2 linked regions of the Cricetulus griseus genome follow. The protein of the gene in region 2 purifies or fractionates together with the protein of the main gene of each other region. This does not show direct contact. Links are inferred from orthologs where the notes say so. Each region holds a gene or a part of one and is shown on either strand. Other genes may lie near its edges.

The links.
Region 1: the proteins of Gpc1 (region 2) and Hadhb purify together in Homo sapiens (co-immunoprecipitation; 3 studies listed by BioGRID and IntAct, counting the BioPlex papers as one, with this or other methods). This does not show direct contact. The link is inferred for Cricetulus griseus from reciprocal best matches to the Homo sapiens genes GPC1 and HADHB.

The regions. Positions count from the first base shown.
Region 1 is NC_048600.1:14,125,027-14,133,016, reverse strand, and holds the start of Hadhb (trifunctional enzyme subunit beta, mitochondrial), read left to right. Parts: upstream 1-3,949; 5' UTR 3,950-4,070; intron 4,071-7,990. Other genes in the region: Hadha (trifunctional enzyme subunit alpha, mitochondrial), read right to left, coding at 3,566-3,632. UniProt on the Homo sapiens protein: Mitochondrial trifunctional enzyme catalyzes the last three of the four reactions of the mitochondrial beta-oxidation pathway.
Region 2 is NC_048595.1:444,318,861-444,326,632, forward strand, and holds the start of Gpc1 (glypican-1), read left to right. Parts: upstream 1-3,577; 5' UTR 3,578-3,874; coding exon 3,875-4,040; intron 4,041-7,772. UniProt on the Homo sapiens protein: Cell surface proteoglycan that bears heparan sulfate. Binds, via the heparan sulfate side chains, alpha-4 (V) collagen and participates in Schwann cell myelination.

The sequences.
Region 1 (7,990 bases), on a different chromosome or scaffold from region 2:
TATGTATGCTAGGCAAACACTTTACCACAGAACTATGTATCCTTGGCCTAGGACCCACTAAGGACCTCTGACCACTATAACTGGGCACTGGGGAGGCAAAGGCAGATGGGTTGCTGTGATTTCTAGGCCAGCTAGTGAAAGCATGCCTCAAAAATAAAATAAAATAAACAAAACAACTGCACTTCAACACATAAATAAAAATAAACCTTAAAAACCAAGAAATAAAAAAGGCCACTAGATGTGGTAGTGCATACACTGAATCCCAACATTCAGGAGGCAGAGGCAGGAGGATCTCTGAATTTGATGCCAGCCTGGTCCACATAGCAAGTTCCAGGCCAGCCAGGGCTACATACTGAGACCTTGTCTTAAACAAAACATTAAATCAAGGTGCAACCACTGGCTGCTACAAAGGAAACATTCCATGTCACACTTTGCTGGTTTAAGCATTCCTAACTGAAAAATCTCTATACTGCATTCCACCACTAATATTCCCAATCTTTGGTAACAAAATCCAGATGCGGTCCACTGTTGCTTATTAGTTGATTCTCATCATCCAACTTGTTTAGGTTCTCAGCGTAACCACAAAGAGATCAAATCATGTGACCCCAGCCATTGTGGTTCTAATCACCATTTTTCTCACTGGATGTCTTTGGCAAGCAGCCCAACCCTACAAGGAATGCTGGGATCACAGGTGCTTGTCACCACTCATGGCAGAGTCAATCTTAAAAAAACAAATATTTGTGCTTTAAAGGTTGTTGATGAAAGCTGGTGTGGTAGCACACCTCAGGGGGCAGAGGTAGGTGGATCATTAAGAGCCAGCCAGCCAGATCTATTTAGTGAGATCTTGTCTCTAAAGTGTAAGTAAGTGTGTGTGTGTGTGTGTGTGTGTGTGTGTGTGTGTGTGTGTGAGAGAGAGAGAGAGAGAGAGAGAGAGAGAGAGAGAGAGAGAGAGTTGGTGCTCATTAACCTATTATTTAAGCCATTTTAATTCTTGCCCACTAACCCCTCTTTGGAGTAAATACACTCCCACACACTTATACAAACCTCTTCTCAATCAGCAGAGACAAAAAGCAAAGAGAAGGAACAGTAAATGCACAAACATGTTGAAAAAGATTCCTAACCACAGTCAATTTAATCAAGCCGAAGTACCCAGTAGCTTTGCTTCTGGAATCCAGCCTTACCCAAGCCTAACAGCAAAGTTTACTCTACCTCGGTGTGAACTTTAGCCTATATTTCCAGTGCCAGCAAAAGTGAAACCTTTGCCCTACTTTTTAATCATCTTCATACGTAACTCAAGAAAATAGCTACAAGATCACATAAAACTATAATCAGTGGAAAAAGTTGAATTATGCTGACACAACTTTGAAAATGTTACTTTAGTTTATAGTAATTTATAGCTTTTTCAAAATCCAATCCCGGTACAAGGAATGGATGGATCAAGAAGTGAGTCAGATTTAAAAATACCACAAATACCTAATAACTGCCTTTCATTTCCTGTAAAATTCTTCTACTATCACTTACACACTTGAGAATTAGGAGAAATAGGAATTAAACAGATAGGAAGGTCAATTTGTGAGTTTTTTATTTGATAGTCATACTAGAATGATAGTACTATGTTTACAGCAGAAATGTTCTGAAACTTCAATAATCAGAAGGTTTACTCTTTCTCCAGGAAATGCCATAGTTCATTGGTAATGCCTGCACACACTCTCAGGGTCAAGGACTGACCTGTTGAGTCTAGACGATAAACAGAAAATCAGGTGTGCAGCTAATTTTTTGGTTGTGAGCCTACCCTTTAATGGCTGAGCCATCTCTCCAGCCCTGTGCAGCTAATTTTAAATCGACTTTCCTACTGACTACACTTTCTTAATGAAAACATAATACAGTTAATGTATTAATGTATATGTTTCTATGTAGGAGTATAGGAAAATCTGGCTGTTAGCTCTTCATCACCTATGTAAAACGGATAGATTAAAAATTCTCAGCTTTATAAAATCATTACTTCAAGCAGTGAAGAGTCAATAACATTTATTGAGAACTTATTCCCATGATAAGCTGTTTTATACCTAATGTAACTTCTTTAGACTTACATGTAATTGACTCCATTTTACCAATGAGAAAAAGATACTGAAATTAATTCCCAAGGTCACCAGAAGGTAAAAGACAGATTTAACCTACAGTCCATATTTAGTGACTTTAATTGCACCACCACACAACTTCTCCTGCCAAAGAAAAAATCACTCTCATTCATTTTATAGATGAGAACGCCCATTTAGATTAAAGCACTTGGCCAAAGTCACACAGCTAGCTAGTGACTAGAAAACACATGGGACCCGGTTACCACTCCAGTGTTGGTAATGTGGTAGTTTTGGCTGTTATATGCAATCTATGTGTGTGGATTAAAAAAAAGTGGTGGTGGTGCAGGCCTTTAATCCCAGCACTCGGGAGGCAGAGGCAGGCTGATCTCAGTGAGTTCAAGGCCAGCCTAGTTACAAAGTGAGTTCCAGGGCAGCCAGGACCCTGAAACCCTTTTTTGAAAAACAAAAACAAAACAAAAACTAGAAAAAGATTCAACTAATTAGCTTAATTAAATGTCTTGGTAAGGAAGAAAAAGGTAAATTATACATGGTACACTTTTTGTGAGGAAAATTAAAGTCTCAAAGTAACCGGTATCAAATATGATATGCAATATGCAATAAATTAAAGTTACATTAGCCCTTGCAGATTTGGGAAGTCTAGGGAAAGGGCGTTTTTCTACCACCACCCCTTTAACCCTCTCACTACCAGTCTGAAGAGGAAGAATCCAAGTTCATAGAGCCCCACGGGGCATCCGCTGGAACTCACTGTGTAGACCAGGCTGGCTTAGAACTCACAGACATCTGTCTCCCTCTGCCTCCCAACCGCTGGGATTAAAGGCATGCGCCACCAACGCCCGGCTAGAAATAGTTCTTAAAAGGATCTAATACTTCGTTCCTCAAAAAAAAAAAATCAAGTTTTCCCATATTTTAGAAATATTTCTTCCCCTAAGCTAAAGAACTTCGGTTTCAATTTTCTATACATTCATAGCAGAATTATTGGAAGTGCGAGAGTTGAGCTCTCTGCAAAAATGGTTTTGACGGTGGAGACCGGGGAGTGGCAGTGATCTGTAAGACTAGTCAATGCCACCGAGAAACTTGACAGATCTCTTAAGGTGACCTCGAAGATGAGACAGAAGGGGTCTTAGTCCTCCCGACCTACCAGGGTCGGGGCCAAGATAATCACTAAGGACAGGACAACAAGGGGGCGTGAGCGCAGGGCCACGGCAGAGAGACAGGCGCAAAGTGCCAGACTGAGTGGAAACGACTCAGGAAAGTCAGGGAGAGCCTGACACCGCCGGAGTAGGGCAAGAGGGAGTGACAGTCCCTTCGCAAGGACACCGGAAATGGGGTCCCGGGACAGTAACCCCCGTTTCCAGGGGTCCCGGGAAAGGGGTGGCAGGGAGACAGCGAGGGGCAAACGCTGCTCCCCGCCGCCCCAGTTCCTGCAGGCACTCCGAGACTCTTCCCGAGCCCTCAGCCAGGCTCACCTCTGGAGCGGAGGATCCTGAAGGCAGAAAAGCGACTGAGACTGCCAATTGCCCGTGACGCCACCATCTTGAGCAGAAGAGGACTAAAGTAGAAAGCTCTTCTAGCGGGGGCGCTGGGGCCGAGGACTTTTCTTTTCTCAGCCTGTCCGGCAGGGCGCCCGATGGACTGCCTTACTAAAACGCAGGCTCTGAGTTGCCGCTGGCCCTCTCACCCTCCTTCTTGCTCCCAACTAATCGGGCCGAAAGGATGATTTTTCTGAAGGAAGACCGAGGACCTCTGAGGAGAGGACGGAGTGTCTGATTTTCTATTCAGGCGCTCAGAGGGCAGCCGGCAAGTCCCGCGGAGGCCGCGGGCGGGGTGAGAGGGGTCCTCGCGGAGCGGGAGCCGCCCATCGGCGAGGGCGGGCGCTTGTCATTCTGGACTTGACCTTGCTGGGAGTGGCGGCTTTCTCCGTCTCTGAGGTGCGGCGGCGCGCTATTCGGCTTTCTTCTGACTTTCCCGCAGGTAGGTCCCACTTCCCTCCCGACTCCTGTCGCCCGTCCCCGCGGCCGCTTCTGCGGACAGGAGCCGGACAGGCTGCAGGCGGGGTCCAGGCCTCCTGTGCCAACCGACTCCAGACGGACGGCGGGTAGCTCGCAGCAGCGGTGTCGCCTGGCTCCACGTATCGCTTCGGGTTTACGAACTGTTTGCGCGTTACCACGTATGCCTTCGGGTTTGCAGAACGCTGGGCTGCGTCAGAGCGTTGTCGTTTCCCCTGCTTTACCTGTCTAGGCAGTACCGCGGCTGCTGAGATTGAGAACTCGTCATTAAGTGCGAGCCTTGGGTGTGGAAGGAGGCGAGGCAGTCCTCCCACCTGCCTGGTGATCCAGGGTTCACGGGCATTTTCTAACTCAGAAGGGGACCCGGCGGACATCTGGGCATCCCCACCAAAGTAGCCATAGTCGTTGAGTCAGAGTGTTAACTGGTAGCCACAAGTGGTAGAACTAGACTAGAGCCTTGCGTCTACTTCTAATTGAGAGTTCAGCTCTTCACATCCGTCGCCTGGCTGTGTCTTGTTTTCTGTGTTTTGGTCCTGGAAAGTTGATGCTGAAGTAAATGGATTGGTTTCAAAAGAAAGTCGTCAGCTTCCGGTGCACTGCACCATTTTGTTTAATACCCACTATCCTCACATTTCGATCATTTTCACCTAGCGGAGACTTGACAGGCTCAGAAAGATGATATACAATTTCTTCTTTTTGTGTGGCAAGCCCAGAATTCAGACAGAAGCGGCACTCACTAGTTAACCGATTATTCTGCAAGAGAGGAAACAAGAACTGGCTGAAATTGTTAAGGAAAGAAAGAAGGGAGCTTTCTGTTTCAGAGCTCAAGTCAGACTAAGTCTTACACCACCAACTAAGCTGACACTAGACAACCACTTCGGAGTAAATTGCAGAAAGGAGTCCTTCTGTCCATATAATAATGCTCTCTACTGCACCTGATTTCACATAACATTTATTTAGATCAGTGGTTGCAAACTTTTTGTAAAGGGCCACACAGGAAAGTAGTTTCTGTTTTGTGAGCCCACTTTGTGCTATGTCATACAGTCTTTGTTTTGTGTTGCTTGCAGCTCTTTGATTTTTGCTGTGCTAGGGATGAAGCCCAGACCCTTGTGCATATTAAACACAAACTCAACTGCTGAGACACACACTCACATCCACCCTTTTGCTTGCCTTTGAAAATGTAAAAACGGTCTAGGAATGTATCTCAGTGGTAGAGAGCTTGCTTAGTATGATTCCTGGCTTCCCTGATCGTACTTAAAAAAAAAAAATTAAAGAAAAAACACTTACTTTATTGAGGCTTTTGGGTTGTATTTTGCTAATGCCTGATTTAAAGCACATTTTTTTTTGTTCCCTGCATTCTCAGTGAAATTTTAAGTTCCATCAAGAGAAAAAAGTGTTTTTGTTTTTTTTTGCTCCTCAGCACTTCAGTTCAATGCTTAGATAGAGGAGAGCTAAGTGTGTTTGTCATCACCTACTAGTAGCAAACACATAAAGTAGCTTCTCTACACAACTCTAAAATTGTCTACATTTCACTGAAGGTCCAGAAACAGAAATGTTAAGCAACTTGTTGAAAGTCCTACAGCTAAGGTGTAGCTAGGATTTGAACTTCAGTGGGAATCTCTTCTTAACTTTGATTTTTGTGGTAACTGGCTAAGTCACCCCATTTTGGTTTTTTATGCTTTACTGGCCCTCTTCTTTCTTCCCTTGTGCCTCTATGCAACCTGCTCTACCCAGGTATTTCCAATTGAATGCCTTTTTGTCAAAATTTCTATATTTCTTTTTTTATTTTTTAAAATTTCTATATTTCTTTTTTTTTAATTTTTAATTTTTTTGGTTTTTCAAGACAGGGTTTCTCTGGCTTTGGAGGCTGTCCTGGAACTAGCTCTTTTAGACCAGGCTGGTCTCGAACTCCCAGAGATCCACCTGCCTCTGCCTCCCAAGTGCTGGGATTAAAGGCGTGCGCCACCAACGCCTGGCTTAAATTTCTGTGTTTCTGAAGCTGTGTAAATGACAACAAAGGTCAGCCATCCCATAAGATAATATAGTCTGACCCCCACTTCCATGTACACACACATTTCTCTGATCTTTTTGTTTTGAGACAGGGTCTCACTATGTAGCTCTCTGGCTGGCCTAAAACTTACTGTGTAGAGCAGGCTGTCTTTAAAGTCATAGAGAACCACCTCTACTTAAAGTGTTGGGATTAAAGGTGTGTGCCATCTTGCTTCACTCTGGTATTTTTATATTTTTAAATGTTTTTAAATTGTTATCTACATGGCATTTTTTTAAACTTATGGTATGAACTATGGGCCTTGTGTTTTCCTAACTGATTAGTCACTTCCCAGAAAATTTATTGATCAAGCCATCTTTCCTCCATTTGCTTTAAACATATTATATATTATGTTTGTCATAGATATTGTCATGATTTCTGAGGGTCAAGAATCTGTGCTACTTGGCGGGGTTGTTCTGACTTTGGAGTTTCTTAGGAGGTTGTTGTCCACACATTGGGCAGGTGGTTGTCACCTGAAGGCTTTCTTGTGCCAGAGTATCAGCTTCCAAACTCACTCATATGGCAGTTGGCAGGAAGTATACAGGCCTCTCCAGGAAGCCAGTGACCAGAAGCTGCAGCCTTTTCCATAGCTTGGTTTCAGAAGCCATGCCATCCCTTCTGACAGAGCAGTACAGTGTGGGAGGCAGTTAGACCTAGAGTACAAGAACCAAGAAAGACAGATACTGAGGTCAGCTTGGAGGCTGGCCACTACAGCCCTCCTTGTAAATCTTAAGTTTCTTACTTGCTTTTTAAGTAAAAACATGCTTAAAAGATAAGACATTGGGTCAGTGAGGTGGCTCCATGGGTAAAAGCTCCTGCCACCACACCAGAGGGCCTGACTTGAATCATGGAACTGCTTGGTAGAAGGAAAGCTGTAACTTCCACAGGTTTCCAGTGACTTGTACATGTGTGCTGTGGTGCATGCTCACTACCTCCCACATAACAACTATTATTATTTTATTAACATTTATTTGGGAAGGAGGCCCATGGCACTCATGTGGTGAGGAGAAGACATCTTGTAGGAGTTTGCTGTGGGTCCTGTGGAACCTTGTCTAGGGGCAGTGAGGCAATGAAGAAATAAGGAACACTGAAGAAATGACAAACTACAGAAAAGCTGGGGTCAGGTGGGGTGTGCATACCTTTGAAGTGACATCTACCACTATAACCTCATCATGACTGTTGTGTACAGAACTGGGGGAGGGGTTAGCTCGTCTGGGTAGGAGGTATCTGTAGGAGGTGTCTGTTGGTAAACATTCTCAGGCTATAAACATCCAGGAGGAGAAAGCTGAGGTTTCTGGCTTTTGCACACTCTGGTCACTTCATTACATTTGGACTCCTCTCCATGCCCTGCCCCAAGAAAAGCTTTGGCATCCCTCCGAGCCTCCCCAGGGCAGGTGTTGCCACTCTTACGGGGTTAAGGCATCAGAGCCTTTGGCATGGTTGTGTCGATGATAACAATACACTTCGTTTTAGGACTTTACTCACTCAGGGCTTTCTCTGCTCCCTTAGAAGTTGGTTCTCTCCTTCCATCATACCAGTTCTGAGGATAAACTCAGGTCCTTATGCTTGATGGCAAGCATCTTTGCCTGCTAAGCCATCTCATCAGCCACTAACAAGTTTTTTTGTTTTGTTTTGTGTGTTTTGCCTGCATGTATGTTTGGTCCACATGTGTGCCTGGCACCCATGGAGGTCAGAAGGAGGGGGTCAGATCTCCTAGAAGTGGAGATATGGATTTGTTGTGAGCCACAATGTAGATTTTAGTAACCAAACCCAAGTCCTCTACAAGAAGAGGAACAAGTGCTCTTAACAGATGAGCCATCTCTCTAGCCCCATCCTAA
Region 2 (7,772 bases):
GGCTTTGACTGACTGCTGTCTCTTTGGAAGTTGCTTTTGGAGTCACTGAAAGATGATCACGAAGCCAAAGAGAACATGAAGCATGTTGGTTCCACCAGCTGGGGGAGGCAGTCCAAATTACAGGAAAAAAGGGGGAGGCCAGTAGGCTGCTAGGAACCAGCAGACCTCCAGCCTGTCCCGATATCCCTCTGAACAGTCTGTCTCAACACCCTGACCCCCAGATTCCTTCAGGACTCTTCTGGAAGCTGGGCGGTTGGGACCAAGCCCTCCGTTGTTCCTCTCTTTTCAGCTCCACACTCTGTGACAATAGGAATGCAGGTCCTAGCTTCATCTGGCTTGGAGGAATACAGTTCCCCCATTTGACATGTCCCCCACCTCATTCATTTCTGCCCTCTCTCTCACAGCCATACCATACTTTCAGCAGGCAAGGACCCCCAAGACATCCCTGTGTGCTCTGCATACAGGAGCCCCAGCACCAACTCTTCCAAAACCTCTCATTGTAACCCCCTTCACAACTTCCACAGGAGGTAGCCCCAACCAGCCTGTATTTGGCATCCAATGTCCTAGGTTTACTTGTGCCCAGCTATGCTACGGCCTGGCTGAGGGACAGCTAAATTGTTGGCTGTGCTGCCTCATAAGTGATTACAGCTCTGCAGCCAAGAGCCAGAGGCAAGTAGGGCAGGGTCTGGTGGGTGCAGCTCTCCTCTCAGGAATGATGAGGTTCCAGCAGTCAGTGCTCTGGGACGCAAGACCTCTCCTCTCCCAGCAACTGTTATTCTAAATTGTAACCACTCCTTCTCCTTGGTAGGTTGGGGGCAGCAAGGAAGGAGGCTGCATAGGTGAGGACAGCTGAGCAGAAGCCACACTGAGCAGGGTGGGTTGGAGGGTGGGTAGTGTCTTCTGTTTCTCCCGAGGCCTTGTCGCCTTGACTGCTTCAGCAGAGCCCCCTCTGCCATGAGATTCCCCTCAGCTCCTGCTGTCTGGACAATTATTCCCAGCCTCTTTGCTCTTTATCACCAAGGCTCTGACAGGTCCTGCCTACCTGGTGCTGAGAGGACTAGACTGCCTATGTCCCTCCCTGCCCATTGGCTTAAACTCTGTCCTGAACATGGGCTGAGAGGCGGGCAGATCCTCACAGTATCTCCCAAAAAGAATGAAGGACCTCTGTAAACTCTAAAGACAGCACCTAGCAATGGGGCAGCTAGCTTCCTGCACATTCATATACCCCAGATGTTATGGTAAGAACTCCCACCCCCAGAGGAGATGGATGCTCTGTTGTGAGCTGGGTCTATCAAGCAGCTGGTGAGTGTCTGTTTTCGTTTGTACACGGCTGAGTTAGCTCAGGTGCCACCTAACTAGGTGGACTCTTGGGCAGCTTTCTGCCACTTTAGTCGAGTGTCCTGGTCAGTAAAAGTGGGAATAGAAACTTAACCTTGGTGTGACATACACATCCAATGGCCTCTCCCTGGGAGCAACAAGGCCACTGCCATTCTGGGTGTCATACCCTGCAAGGGAGGGGAGGCTGCTGGGGACCTGCCAGCCCCTACATGCTGCCCTCAGGCTTCCTCAGTCAGTTCCATAGCAGGCCCTGAGCTGCTCACATATCTGGTCCCTCAAGGTTGTGGAGAATCCAGTGTGGAAGAAGCATCCCTCTGGAGGAAGGTCTTGGCTGCCAGTACTGTGGCCTGAGGAAAGGTGCTATGCTGCATTTTTTCAGGTAGAATGATAAGGATGTCCCTAGGAGAGGAAGCCACCCTATACAGGACATCACCTGAGCCAGGATCATAGAAAGGGCCACCATATCCTAGAGATCTGCCTTGGGGGTCCAGAAATGGCTCTGCACTCCACCTGCCCTGAAGAACTATCTAGACTGGTCAGGTTACAAAGAGGCACGCAATGGTGGTGATAGGTCACACATGGGCCTCTATTGAGCCTCAGCCAGGTTTAACCCTGAGTCAACCCCCAGGCCGTAAGAGGCTACCCCCTAATACTCAGCCAGACCACATGGAGAGCTCATAAAGCAAACAGGAGCCTGGGTCAGGTACAAGTGCCCTACTGAAGGTGGCAGGGGCCCCAAGCTGGCCTGGTCAGGCCAGGACAAGAAGGAGCAGACCTCAGCATGCAGTGTGCTGGGATTGGTGAGTCAGGAAAAGTGTTTCAGTGCAGGAGTGTGAGGGGATCTGCTCTCCCGACTGGGTCTCCATTGCTTCTCTCAAGCAAAGGCTGTATGCATGGATGAAGGACTTCCCTGGGAGTCAGGGCAGGAAACCCAGCCTCCTGGGATGACAGTCCGATAGTTTAGGAACACTGATGGGAGGGGCATCCTGAGTGATTTAAGGGTGTTGTCACAAAAGTAAGTCCTGACTTAGCTGACTCCAAGGGCCCTGGACTCGTCTGTCACATAGGCATTATCTTATGACTCTCAACCAAGTGAGCCAGTTCGCTTGCTTTCTTCCCATTTCCAGATTCGGTATCTGGGTTCAGTCTGGCCTCAGCTATGATGGCCTCTGGGGCCTTTACCCACAGGGCAGAAGGAAAAGCAGAAAGGGACAGTGCCACTGGCAGCAGCCAAGCAAGAAAGTCCAAACCAAGCACCACCAGCCCCCAGGTGGGGTGCCAGGCACCCTCCCCTCCTCCGCCATCATCCCTGCAGCTCTGCTTGGCAGTCCTGCACAACACGTCTGGGGTTGAGCTGTCCTGCATGGTCTCCTAACTCCACTCCTTTCCAGAGGTCATCTGCCACCCTGCATTCAAGCCCACAGACCTGCCTCTGCTCCATCGCTTTTGTCGCCCAAGCACCTAAAGAATCACGAAGAGGGGACCAGAACACCCGCTGACAATCTGTAACATATAAGTCATCGGAGCTAGTGAAGGCTAGTTTTTTGGCCAGTTTCCCGCCTTCGGCCCCCTCACCCTCCTCCAAAACACATCAGATGAGAACTGGAGCCGTGCAGGAGCGGCTAGAAAGGGCGTAGGGAGGTGGGCGCTGTTGGGGGTGTGGGTGTGCAGGTGACCAGGGAAGCGAGAGACCAGGACAGAGTGGTGGAAGCCCTGAAAGAGAAAGCCGGGTACGCTTAAGGATGGAGAAGAGCAAAGGGGTGCCGAATTCGGCAGGGGGCGGGGAAACCCCTGATTGGCCGGGGAGGACGTGATGTCACGTCCGGCGAGGGAAGCCCTGCCTCAGCGGTCCCCCCCGCCCCGCCCCCGCCCCCACAGGTGGTGCCTCCGCCCTGAGTACTGGGCTTCTGGGGGAGGCACCTTCGGGGACCCTGGACTCCGCTTTGCATTCCTGGCTCCCCCCCTCCCTTCCTCCCTCCTCCCCAGCAACCGAGCCCATCGCGTGGACTGCAAGGGCCTGCACGCCTCCTCCTCCTCCTCCTCCTCCTCCTCCTCCTCCTCCTTCCCGAGAGCAGAGGAGCGCCCGGTGCGCCCCGATCGTGCCCCCAACCGCGCCCGCGCCCCCCGCCCCGCCTAGCCCCGCCCGGGCGCTCCCCTCTTCCGCGCCGCGCTCCCCGCCCCTCCCTGCCCCTCTCCGCGGCCGCCGTGGGGCCGGGCGGGCGGGCGGGCGGCGGGGGAGGCGCTGAGCCGGGACTGCGCGTTCGCCCGCCGCGCTCTGGGCGGCCCGACTGAGCGCCTGGACCTCGCGCGCCTCGCGCCTCGCGCCTCGCGCCGCAGTCGCAGCCGGCTTTTGTTGTCTCCGCCTCCTCGGCCGCCGCCGCCGCGCCTCTGGACCACGAGCGCCGCCGCCGCCGCCGCCGCGCGCGCCGGGACCTTGGCTCTGCCCTTCGCAGACTGGGCTGAACGGGCCGGCCGGCCGGGAGCGAGGGAGGGAAGCGCGCGCGGGCGGGCGGCCGGGGAGCCACGGGCCCCCGCCATGGAGCTCCGGGCCAGAGGCTGGTGGCTGCTGTGCGCGATCGCCGCGCTGGTCGCCTGCGTCCGCGGGGACCCCGCCAGCAAGAGCCGGAGCTGCAGCGAAGTCCGTCAGATCTACGGGGCCAAGGGCTTTAGCCTGAGCGACGTGCCCCAGGCAGAGATCTCCGGTGAGTAAGGGCGCGGCAGTGTCCGGGGGCTCCGGACCCCAGCACTCAGGAGGAGGAGGAGGAGGAGGTCTGCTCCGGGCCCCTGACCCCGCCGCAGCTAGCCCCGGGCGCCAGAACCCGCCACCTAGACTTGGAGTGGCCTCCTGCGCCTCCGCTGCTCTGTCCCCCGCGGCCCTCGCCCCTGAGCTCCGATCCGCTCTGTTGCTTCCCAGTTCCCAGTCTCTGCGCGCTGGAGCCCCTTCCTCTTAGCGCTGTTCTGGCCCGGCTAGGGACGAGTGGACCCCAGTGCGGTGCACTCCCTTCGGGTCAGGGTTGGAGCTGGGCGTCTTCAGCCCCTGGCTTGGCCCAATGTGCCTGTGGGGCGACAATCCCAGCTCCGGGGCAGCGTGCCTGCCGCCCTTGTGGCGGAGCAAGCGGTAGCTGTGGGGCGGTCTGTCGGGGCACAGCTCCCGGTGGCAGCGGGCTAGGAACTTCTCTATGCGGACCTCTCCCAGAGGCGTCAAGGTTCTACTTAGGAATTCCCGCGGGTCCACGGCGGGAGCAGCCTAAGTGGGATTTATGGGAGGAGATCCTATCCTGCAAGCCTGAATTCCAGGGAAATGTGAGCCCGCTGTGGGCTTCAGGCGACCCCAGGGCTCGCTGGGATTCCTACCCAGGAACTTGTGCCCTCCAGCGCCCGGGCCCTTGCGCACTCGTGGTCGGGCCGGGCACTTGGGGCCGCCTGGAGCTACGAGCCCAGCTGCAGGTGGTCGACGTCTTGGATCCCGCCCAGGGGCCTTGTCATCTCTTTGTAAGAAGAGCGGCCCTCCTGGCGGCAGCCTCGGCCCTGCAGCTGCTGGGAGCAGCCCTTCCCCTCCCTTCCCTTCCCCGCTGCCTCGGGAGCTCTGGGAACCGAATCTTTATGAGCTTGGAGCGCCGATGCAATGTCCTAAGGACCTCCCCAGCCCCAGGCTTCACCCTTCAATGTGTGTGGAGCTCCCCTGGATAAGTGCAACACCAGGGCCTTGGTGAGCAGGGAATTCCCGCTGTAGGGTTCTTCTGAAACTGAAGGGGCTTGCAGGCTAGAAGCCAAGCTCAAGTGGTACCATGGGCACTCTGAATGAGGAAAATCAGGAGTGTCACCCAGAGTGGGTAGCCTGTGGCCTTACCTTGCTTGGGAGTGGTAGTAAGTAGCCAGGCTCTGGGGAGAGACAGAACCCAGAGATACCTTGTTTGGCCCCAGTCTCTTGGCTAGCTGCCCCTCAGATACCCCTAGTACAGGCCTTTCTGTGCCTCTCTCTGCAGACAGCCCTGCTATGTCAAGGCCACACCTCCTGCACTTCTCTGGGCACTGTCCACCTGGGTGTCTGGCAACAGAAGGTGTCCTGCTTTCCCCTCCTCCAAACACACATAAATAGGAACTTAAACCCCGGGCATCCTTGCCTGCCTCTGATCCTTGCCAGACTCCAGATCCCCACACACACCAGTCTGACACCTTCCAGCCTACAGCTTCCCATGGCATGGCCAGGCCCACCCGCCTTAATGCCTTCTTGAGGAGCTTCTTAAGCGTGTACCCACCCACTGCTACTGTGCCCGTGTCAGCAGGGACTGGCAGTGTGGGCAGTGACAAGGGCACTGAGAGGGTAAAATAAGAGGCAGAGATGTGGCCTTCCAGAGATTCTGGGTCTTTCTGCCCAGGGTTGGGGAATGTGGGAGTTAGGAACTCAAGACAAGTAAAATGCGGTGATGTCTTTGTCGGCTGCGAGTACTGTCCATCCAGCTGGGATGTGTGGGTACCCTGAAGAATTACTGCTATCATACCAGTTGGAGTCCAGCATCTGTTCAGGGTCACCCCACTTATTGGTATGCAAGGCTGGGGGCTGTGTTCTTCCACCATCCCTATTGGTGCACCTCAGAAATCGTGCCCTGCTTCCCTGGAACCCCCTTGGGCTGCACCTCATAGCCCTCAGAGTGGGAGAGAGAGTCTCTACAAGCCCCAGGGCACTGAAGAGAGTATTAGCACATAGACTGAGAAGCAGGGTGGCCGCCAGGATAGCCGGAGCCCAAGCGGCAGCCAAGCTCAGGGTCCTGTCTGGTTTTGTACCACCAGACCTGGACTCCAAGGACCAGGCGCCCTCTGGTGGCCCCTGATGGCGCAGTCCTCCCTAGAGCTCTAAATCCTCTGAGCCTTTTCCTGCAGCACCGATCTAGACTTCCAAAGAACGTTCTCCTCTAAGGAGTATGGGGATCCCCCGGGGGCTAGATACCTGCTCAGGTACTACTGGAGGTCAGTGGGTGGTTGGGAGAGAAGAAGGGTGGACTATGAGCGCTTGAGTGGCCTTTTCTGCTCCTGTCTTGGGGACCAGAAATAGCAGTAGTTAACAGGAGACTTCGCTCTTAGCAAACAGCACCCTGTCAGAGGGACTGATTCCTTAAGGCACTGTTTGGTTTTCTGGGTGGCCTGTCCAGGTAGCAGTGATGACAGCTGTCCCATTCCATAGATGAGAAGCAGTCAGGGGAGGCAGCCACTATGGTGGTGTCCTCCTTCTATGCCAGGGCCCCTCAGTGGAGCAAGGCCTGGATGAATTTGTTAGGAGCCCAGTGCTGAATCACAGCCATAATCAAGGAAGCCTCTCTTGACTGGCAGGACTATTCTGGGACATGAATGTTACTAAGCGCACCCCATACGGTTAGTATGGTGCCAGGGTGTCCACTTTGGCCTCTAGGGGCAAGGACCACCCCTACTTAGTCTCTGTTGTCACCACAAAACTGATCCAGGCCACTGTCCCCAAGTAGGTTCTCAGAACAACTGCAGATGGGTACATACTTCTGCTTCACAGTCGCCGTGCTGTCGCCTGGGGAACAGAGGATGAAGGTGGCCTCCACAGAACAAAGGCCGCCTTCCTTGGGGTCTCCAACCTGAGAAGGAGTGGGGCTGGGCATCAGAAAAACTCAGAACTGCCCATCTTCTCCTGTGCCCCAAAGTCACAGTATTCCTGCTTGCCTGCCAGCATGGGTGGGCGCCTCATACCAGATACACACTGCGTACCCCCAAACCCCAGCCAAACTCTTAGTTCTCTATGTGGGCTTTGGCCTTCTATACAATAGTAGTTGAGAATCTGAGGCCCTGTGCCTGTAGGCTCTTCCCGCCTCTTAGAAAGAGTTGTCTGGCTTTCTCTAGAACCCAACAGAATGTCTCCCTCACTTGAGGTCTGGGGCTCTCAGAAGTCACTGACACATTTTCCACTCTGGACCAGAAGTTTCTGTGTGGCCTATTCCTCCCAGGAAGAGTCACCTCCTTCGTGGCTCAGCATGAAACCCAAGGTGGTCCGCATCCCCTGACGTGCTGCTAGGAGCTTGACTTTCATCATCCCCAGCACAACGGTCGGGCTCCTGTGTGCCCCAGGGAGCCATGATCCATCAGGGCCGTGTGCGTGATGCAATGGTCTGGGTCCTTGCTGTAGTGCGAAGGCTCCCAAGCTGGACAGGCCATCCTGCTTCTCCATGGAAACACCCTCTATTGGTCCCCAGGGGCTTTCTGTAGAGTCAACACAACTGCACAGTTGCTGGTGTCCATCAGCTGGGGTGTTCATTGTGGACCGGGCTCCAAAGATGCATTTCACAACCATTCCATGAGCCCTTCATGAGAGGGCCCATGTGAACATCTGGACAGAGAAAGACATCCAGGCCAGAGAGGCCACATACCTTGCATAGGGCACCATCTGGCTAATTCCAAAGCCTGTGCTAGCAGCT